Sus scrofa: one gene and its partner. The protein of the gene in region 2 purifies or fractionates together with the protein of the main gene of each other region. This does not show direct contact. Links are inferred from orthologs where the notes say so. Each region holds a gene or a part of one and is shown on either strand. Other genes may lie near its edges.

Region 1 (4,488 bases), on a different chromosome or scaffold from region 2:
GGTTGGGACATTCATCTGGTTTCCTCATATAGGGAATAGGTAACTTGAGGAATGAGCCCCTTCTCAGCACCAGGAAATGGGATCCCACAAGATCCAGCAGAGAAAGGAGGTAAAGTTTTTGAAGCCCAAGTTTGGGGCAATGGTTTTGGCTTAATATTCTCCACATTGGGAAGGTCACAGACAAAACAAGGAGGACCATTGTGCCCTCTTCCTCATCCCACCCCCAGCCAGTCTCCAATAACAGGCTGGTGGACTATCCACTCACTACATGGGTCTCCTTGGAGGCCTTGGCCACAGCATCCCCACGTTCTGAGAAGTACCTGCCGAAAGCAAGGGGAGTAACCATAGGAGTGGGTGTTCAGAGAGAGATAGTCCCTCAGACCCTTCCCAAGGCCCCCCATTATCCCGATGGGCATGTCCCGCTTTGGGAGTCCCCACAGAATGTCCTTGCAGACCCCTGTGCTGGCCCTCCAGCTGCCCTCACTTGGAAATGGTGGTCTGGAAGGCTTCTACTTTGGTCTTGACTGCATTTACCCTCTCCAGCACCTTTTCCTGTGGTGACAAAAGAGATGGGAGGCAAAGAAAACACTTCATCTTGTCCCTTTTTCACTCACTGTCTACCTCCTCCTCGCAGTTCATATCTAGTCTCTATCCCTTACTCCCCAAGACTCTTCCTGCTCTCAGCATCCTCACAGACCCTTTCTCACCTGGACTGCCACCCCAAAGTCATTTCCATCCTCAATTTTGGGGATCAGGTGCTGGATCCATGTGATCACCTACAATAAGAGCTATCATGTAAGAATCATTCAACAAAATTCTGTTCTTAGTACGGTTACTTCCTAAAAATAGCTACATTTAACTGAGTACTTATTATTTGACAGGCACTGTGCTATGTATTATATATCTCATTTAATCTTCACGGCAACCTTTCAGGCTTGTACCCATTTAAACAGATGAAAATGCTGAGTCACAGAATGTCTAAGTGACTTACTTAAGGTAACCAATTAGGTAAGTGATAGAGTCAGGATTCGAATGAAGGCAGTCTCCCTCTAGGGTCCAAGCTCTTAAACCAACTCACTGTATCAGAGCACCTGCACTGTGTACCTGCTACAGCAGTAGGTTCTGAGGTTATGGAGGGGGATGCAACACAGTTTGATTTAGAGGGTACCACTGTAATATCAGAGGTCTAGCAGAACAAGGAGAGCAAAAGTTATCTAAACACAAGGCACAGAAGGAAGCTCCCTATTTTGAGAATAGGTTCCTAAAGGAAGGACTTGGAACTCTGAAGGAGATCAAGGCATGGCCTTGCTTGTCTTCTCTTTCTATGTCCCCCAGTTTCCCAAGCTTACCAGAATGCATTTTTCTTTGAGAGTCCAGACTTCTGGCTTAACCAGGCCAAGCAAGGCCAGGATCTTCTCGTTCCCAGGGAGAAAGCCACACTTAGGGACTGTGAGAAAGAGGAGATTTAGATCCCTTCACATCCAGCAATCAGTGTGCCATTTCTCTTTCCCTAACCTCCCCCCTTCCCCTCTTACCTTCTTTCTTCTCCTGCTTATCTGTTTCCATCTAAGGAGAAAAGGGGGGAAGAAACTTTAGAAAAGTCATGGAGGTTGGCAGACCATTATGTACAGTGGATTTATAGCCCAAGCCCTATGCCCTAAGTGCCTCACCTCATCATCCTTGGGTGGGGGGTCTGGGATGGGGATGTCCAGCGGGGCCCGGAGAGAAGTGAGGTCGGTCACGTTGAGGGAGTCCTCCTGCACAGAGCTCACTGTCAGGGACTGCCCAGCCTCTTCCCGTCCTCCTGAGTCACAGCCTTCCCCCACACACATCGTACCCACCCTCCTCCTCCCAACCTAGGCTGAGGCTTGGCACTATCCTAATGTTCCCAGTCCACTACTCGCAACTCTTCTCTGCAGTTGGAGCCCAGCTGTTAGCTAGAGAGAGTGGATGGAGAGGAGAGGGGCCATGGGTTGGGACAGAAGAGGTTCACTCTACTCACTTGCAAGAGCTGACTCAGGTATATGATTTTCTGAGGCAAAAATCTGTAGAGGAATTCCTCAGCCTGCGGGTTATGTTTCAAGGGTAAGAATCACAGAAGACACTCAGTGAGAAGTCTGAGGAGTGGGACTGGAAGGGCCCTTGGAAATCTTTGAATCCAATACTTACAAATGAGGAAACTGAATCCCTGAAAAGTGAAGGGAGCAAGCTGGGAAGTGGTAGAACCAAGGTTAGAACTGTGGTATTCCCGCTTTGGGGCTACAGCTTTTCCCTTCACACCGAAAGATGGGAGAGGAAGTGGCATAAGTGGGGAAGGTATTAAGAGGGGTCAAAGTAAAAGAAGAGATTAGTAACTAGGAGCTTATCTTGGGTGAAGGTTGATAAGGGAAGTAGGGCCTGGGTCGAGGGTGGGTTTAGGGGTCTGGGAAGTTGCAATGCTCAGGAATTGGTCTGAGATTCTGCGTCAAATCACTTGAATCCAGAAGACTTACCTCCTGGAAAAGATTTTGCCTGAAGACATCCACCTGCAGAGAGAGCAGTACCCGGATGTTGGTTAAGGGTCTCACTTGCCCACAGTAAGACCCCACCCCCAACAGGATGCCCTCCAACTTGGCTCAGGCCTTTCCCACTACAAGCCACATTTCCCTGGAAGCCCCTGCCCAAGGTAGAGACTGCTCAGAGGGCAGGAATCTGGGACTCTCGGGACAGAAGTGAAAGCACTTAGGGAGGTTGGGGGATTTCTCTGGCACGGCCTTGGTCCCCTGGAGCACCCAGTTTGGCTTCCATTCGGGAGGGCTTTTGGACCCTTCCTGGCCTCCCGGTTCCCCATACCTGTTTGCGGGCTTCCCCGCTCAGGCGCACCCCACAAGGCTTGGCCATGCTGCTCCAGTTGCTGCTAGATCTCCGGTCTCCCCGCTCGCAGCCTGGGCTTTCGCTTTCACTCCCCACGTCCAGGCCCGCCCCCCTCAACCCCGCCCCCTTCCTTCTTTTCCCCCTCCCCCTGGAAGGCAGCAAACTGTTGGGAGCCCCTCTGCCATTCTCGGCCTGTGCGACTAGGAGAGGCGGTGCTGACTTGGTCACAAGCCCAGGGGCTGTCCAGGGGAGGGGCTAGGACAAGTTGGACCGCGGAGACTGAACAGGGGCTGTCCCTTGGAGAAGGGGCGGGGCTTATGGGGGGGAAGAACATCAAGGGGATGTCCAGGTTTGGGGTGAGAGGGTGGAAGAGTGGGAAAGGGGGTGTTTAGTGGTGGGGCTCCCCTAGGAAGGCTCGACTGAGGGGAGGGGCCTGAGAGAGATCAGAGTCGGGTAGGAGAAGTAGTAGGCGGGAGAAGGGATAGCAGGATATGGAAGGGAACAGGCGGGTCTTCCTCCCGGAGGACGCCCTGTCTTCAAGACCGACTGGAAAAGGGACTTGTGTAGGGTTCAGGCTGGCAGAGTTGAGTTCCTGAGTGGGATTTCCCCTGTGGGGTTCGGGTAGAGAGAAGGGCTTTGAGGGAAATAAAATAACACCGAACCTGGGGCTATACACAGGGGTTGGCACCGGACTGGACCAAGGTAGGGAAGAGCGCTAGAACAAGGTTTAAAGCCTAGAAGCTCTGAGGGAGGAGCCAGTGACTATTTACCATTCTCATTGGCTGAGGCTTGTTGGCCACGCCCCGGTCTCCTGGGCCCCGCCCCTCCTTAAGTTTAAACCCCTCCCCTTCCCCTGAAACTGGGTCGCAATCCCGCCCTCTTCCCTAGTACTTCCTGTTCCCGCTAATCCTGGCGTGGGGCCCGAGGCCCAAGAGTGACCGTGGCCTGAGTGACTTAGGGTTCCCGTGCCGACCGTGTCGCTCCGCGAAGCCAGACCCCAGGTGCTCGGGGCGGCTCTCGGGCCGCGCCCAACCTGCTCTGGGTTCCGGCGGGCAGCGGACTGGGGCAGACTCCTGTCTTAGGATGCCTAGGGAGGAGGAGGAGCGAGCCTTCCTGGAGGCCCGCGAGGAGCTGGCGAACGCCCTGAGGAGGGATTCCGGGCAGGCGTTTTCGGTGGAGCAGCTTCGGCCACTACTGGTCACCTCTCTGCCGCCAGCAGCCCGCTACTTGCAGCTGAACGCTGCACGCCTGGTCCGCTGCAACGCTCATGGGGAGGTGAGGCCCAGCCCCGCCTAGGAGGGGGACAGGGGAGCAGAGGTCCGGTCGGGGCTCACAGCTCTCTGCTCTCTGACTGCTCTCAGCCCCGAAACTACCTCAGCACCCTCTCCACGGCCCTGAACATCCTGGAGAAATATGGCCGCAACCTTCTCAGTCCTCAGCGGCCCCGGTACTGGCGCGGGGTCAAGTTTAATAACCCTGTCTTTCGCAGTACGGTGGATGCTGTGCAGGTGAAGCCTCTGGGCCCCTTATGGGGGAAGGGGACTTAACCTGGGCTGGGGGTTGGCTAGAAAGGCCCTGAGGCTGTGCTGAATGGGGAGAGGTCCAGCCCTATTGGGAAGGGGGCCTGCTGGCCCT
Region 2 (4,059 bases):
GAGGTAAGGGGTTTCACCCCAAAAAAGGTCCCTGGGTCGTAAATTCTCTGAGTCCGCCCAATCTGCTTTTCATGGTAACTAGCAGGTTATCCCGAACAAAAGGGCCCAGGTGCTTATTCTGGGCTGGTCCCCAGGAAAGCTGTCGGGAGGATACCTTGGGCCCTGCAAGTCAGGTGCCTGGTGAGAGCCCCGCACAAGTAAGAGGGAGAAGGGGAGGCAGTCAGGCATCGGGCTGGGGGCTGGAAACTGTCCCCAGAGCGCAGTACACCACGCGGCTGGGGGTTCCATGCTGGCTTCAGTTGAGAGGGGAGAGGAGCCACGCAGGCGTTATTTCGATCAATCTGCAGTAACCCTGCTGTGGCTCATCCCTACACCAAGTCCCTGAGACTTTGGGGACACTGTTCAGGAAGGAAAGAAATGTCTCCTGTGAGCAAGGGGAGGAGACTCGGGGTCATGGAGCCCTCTCTGGACGGAGGCCAGGAATCGGGGTAGGCTCCCAGCGGCCGCCCTCAGGAAGCGGGCCTTTCAGCTGTCACGGGCCTGCTGCAAGTGCCTCATTTCCCACCCGATGGGGTGTTCGTGCAGGAGGGGAGAGGCGGGCGTCTGCAAGGCTTCCGGAGTCTCCCAGCGCATACTCACATGACGTGGACGATGACGCCCATGCCCGACACCGCGTCCCTGTCCACGGCGTTCAGCATGGCTTGGGAGATGGTTTCAAACAGGTGCTCTGGATCCTGCCAATAGAGCGGAAGCCCTTTAATCCCCGGAGCCTCGGACCCTGATTTGGTCTGGCTCCGCAGGACTCTCTTCTCTAGGCTCAGGGTGCCTGGCTCTGGCCCCTCCCAGGCCTGGAGTGAGGGATGGTTCCTTGGATGTGAGAAGCCCCCTCAGCTCCTTCTCAAGAGGGAAGCAGGGTTATAAAAGGTGAAATTCAAGCCCCGAACTTCCTACACTAACCAGCAGCGTGACCTTGAGCAAGTCGCATGTCCCTTCCGTAAGCCTCAATCCCTCTTCTATAAAATGGAGAGAAGGGAGTTCCTGTTGTGGCTCAGCGGAAATGAATCTGACTAGTAACCATGGGGATGCAGGATGGATCCCTAGCCTTGCTCAGTGGGTTAGGGATCTGGTATTGCTGTGAGGCTGTGGTGTAGGTCACAGACAAGGCTCAGATCCCCTGTTGCTGTGTCTGTGATGTAGGCTGGCAGCTGCAGCTCTGAATTAGACCCCTGGCCTGGGAACCTCCATATGCCACGGGTTCGGTCCTAAAAAGCCAAAAAAAAAAAGACACCCCACCCCCACCCCCCATGAGTCTGATGGACTCTCCTCCTGGGTGGCCCAGAGGTACCTCGAAATCCAACCTGTCCAACCATGAACCTATTTCCTCCCAAACCTGTTTCTTCTCCTATATCCTCTATCTTCATTGGCCTAGCTAGAAAACTCAAGTGTCCTCAGTATCTCTGCCTCCTTCATTTCTTTCTTTTTTTTTTTTTCTTTTTACAGCCACACCTCGGCGTATAGACATTCCCAGGCTAGGAGTGGAGACAGAGCTGCAGCTGCGGGCCTTCAGATCCAAACCGCGTCTGGGACCTATGCTACAGCCTGCAGCAATGCCGGATTCTTAACCCACTAAGCAAGGCCAGGGATCGAACCTGCATCTTCACGGACACTATGTCAGGTTCTTAACCCACTGAACCACCAAGGGAACTCTCACTTTCCTCATTTCTATTTTAGGTGATTGAGTCCTCTAGACCTGGCTGCCCTGCTCCGCACCTGCTACTCTCTTTGCTCAGGACCTCAGCGCCTCCCGCGGGCCTCTGGTTCCTCAGGTTTCTTACAGCCTTTGACATGATGCCAAAAGAAAAGGTTCAAACTGCTGCTCACGGCCTTCCAGGCATTTCAGGTCTCTTCCTGAGCTCACGCCCTGCCTTCCTCTCACCCGCCTCTGCCCACCCTCCAGCAGCCACAGCAAGCTCTTTCCATCACTGAACACACTTGGCCCTTCTCGCACCTTTGCACAGGCCGTTCCTTCGGCCAACCGGGCCCTTTCTTTCCTCTTTTTCCTGGCAAACTTCACTTTAACAGGTATCTGGGTGTTTGTCTTGCTTCATTAGGCTGCAATAAATCCTTGAAGACAGACTATCTGGTTTCCCCAGAGCCTAGCAGAGCTGGCACAGTGGCCAGCGCTCACTGTCAGGCTCTGTTCCAATCTCTCCCTGCGATTTCCTCACACCACCGCTCATGAGGTCGGTTCTGGTGTCACCCCCACTCTACGGCTGAGGGACTGGAGGCGCACGGACGTCAGGTGACTCCCCGAGAACATAACCAATTAAGTGGTAGGTGGAAGTGGGTTTCCAACCCAGAAAACCTGGTTCCAGAGCCCATTCTGCTGAGCTGTCCTTAACCCTACACCCTGTTAAATGCTTGCTGAATGGGGAGCTCCTGCTGTGGCGCAGTGGAAACAAATCTGACTAGGAACCATGAGGTTGCGGGTTTGATCCCTGGCCTTGCTCAGTGGGTTAAGGATCTGGTGTTGCCGTGACCTGTGGCACAGGTTGAAGACGTGGCTTGGATCCTGCATTGTTGTGGTGTAGGCTGGCAGCTGCAGCGCCAATTGGATCCCTAGCCTGAGAACCTCCATATGCCACGGGTGCGGCCCTAAAAAGCAAAAAGCAGAAAAAAAAAAAAAGTTTGTTGAATGAACGGAAGAACTCTGTAAGCCAAATGTGAGAATGAGCTGTTATGGCAAATATCTGACTGAGGGCCCACACCAAGGCCCTGGCAGATTGTTCTGGACACTCTTCCCAGGCTCAGCAGCTTGGCTTTCTCTCCTACCCGCATCCTTCTCCCCATTACCTGCCAGGTAAACCCACCTTCCCCTGATGGCCGAGGGGCGGGCCCCTCAGAACCCCGCCCCACTCCATGCCGCCAACTCACCATGTCGGGTTCCCAGAGGGACTCACACATCCCGTACATTTGTTCCGTGCAGGTGCCACTGACCACAAAGTCATCAGTCACCATGGGGCAGCCGATAAGGTCTAGAGAGCAAATGAAGGGCTTAAAGGTCTTGGGGTCCAACCCGGCGATGACCGGCTCAGTGTAGTAGGGCCCAAACCTGCGGGATCAGGAGCAGAGAGAGACCAGAGCTCAAGAGCATTCGCTTTTCTGGCCAGGCCTATTCAGACCAGGCCCTGGGCCAGACGCAGGGGGGAAGGCAGAGGGCCTGTGTGGGACCCTCCCTTCCCGTCTCCTGCACCAAGCAGTGTGCGAAGGCTTTTCCTCCTCTTCTCTGACACTCACTTGGTGTTCTTCTCGCCCCCGACCCTCTCTTCCTCTTCCTTTTTTGGGGGATTCTATGTTTCCCCCTAATGTTCCCTGTCCTCATCCAGGTCCTGTCACCAATCAATCTTCTATGGATACACCTCTACCTTTACTCTTTTCCCAAAAAAGGATTTGAAGCAGTTTGTAGGAAAAAACACTGAAAAATAACACTAAACCAATATGGATGGAGCCAGAGATGATCAGACTAAGTGAACTGAATCCGAAAGAGGAACACAAATACACCATCACTTACATGTGGAACCTAAAAAATAACACAAATGAACTTATTTACGAAACAGAAACAGACTCAGAGACATAGAAAAGTAATGGTTACCAAAGGGGAAGAGGAGTAAGAGCCTAGGATTAACGAGTACAAACTACTGCATATAAAAGAGAGAAACAACAAAGTGCTACTGCGTAGCACAGGGAACTATACGCACTATCCTATAATAAACCATAGTGCAAGAGAATATAAAAAATGTGGATATCAGAGTTCCCATCACGGAGAAGTGGAAACGAATCTGACTAGGATCCACGAGGAGGCATTATCCATGTCTTATATCAGCACCTGGTAATTTTTTTGTTTGTTTTTTAGGGGTGCACCCATGGCATATGCAATTTCTCAGGCGAGGGGGTCCAATCGGAGCTACAGGTGCCAGCCCACACCACAGCCACAGGAACGCAGCAGTCGGGCTGCGCCTGCGACCTATACCATATTTCATGGCTACGCTGGATCCTTAA

Evidence for each region. Proteins that work in one complex are often made in the same cells at the same time.
Region 1: the proteins of PSMB3 (region 2) and PSME2 purify together in Homo sapiens (affinity purification with mass spectrometry; 3 studies listed by BioGRID and IntAct, counting the BioPlex papers as one, with this or other methods). This does not show direct contact. The link is inferred for Sus scrofa from reciprocal best matches to the Homo sapiens genes PSMB3 and PSME2.

Annotation. Positions count from the first base shown.
Region 1 is NC_010449.5:75,153,041-75,157,528, reverse strand, and holds the start of PSME2 (proteasome activator complex subunit 2), read right to left. Parts: upstream 2,960-4,488; 5' UTR 2,881-2,959; coding exon 2,833-2,880; intron 2,526-2,832; coding exon 2,493-2,525; intron 2,066-2,492; coding exon of another isoform or gene 2,003-2,065; intron 1,758-2,002; coding exon 1,671-1,757; intron 1,567-1,670; coding exon 1,536-1,566; intron 1,448-1,535; coding exon 1,350-1,447; intron 777-1,349; coding exon 708-776; intron 553-707; coding exon 485-552; intron 321-484; coding exon 266-320; intron 1-265. UniProt on the Homo sapiens protein: Implicated in immunoproteasome assembly and required for efficient antigen processing. The PA28 activator complex enhances the generation of class I binding peptides by altering the cleavage pattern of the proteasome.
Region 2 is NC_010454.4:23,347,338-23,351,396, forward strand, and holds part of PSMB3 (proteasome subunit beta type-3), read right to left. Parts: intron 3,113-4,059; coding exon 2,935-3,112; intron 735-2,934; coding exon 640-734; intron 1-639. UniProt on the Homo sapiens protein: Non-catalytic component of the 20S core proteasome complex involved in the proteolytic degradation of most intracellular proteins. This complex plays numerous essential roles within the cell by associating with different regulatory particles.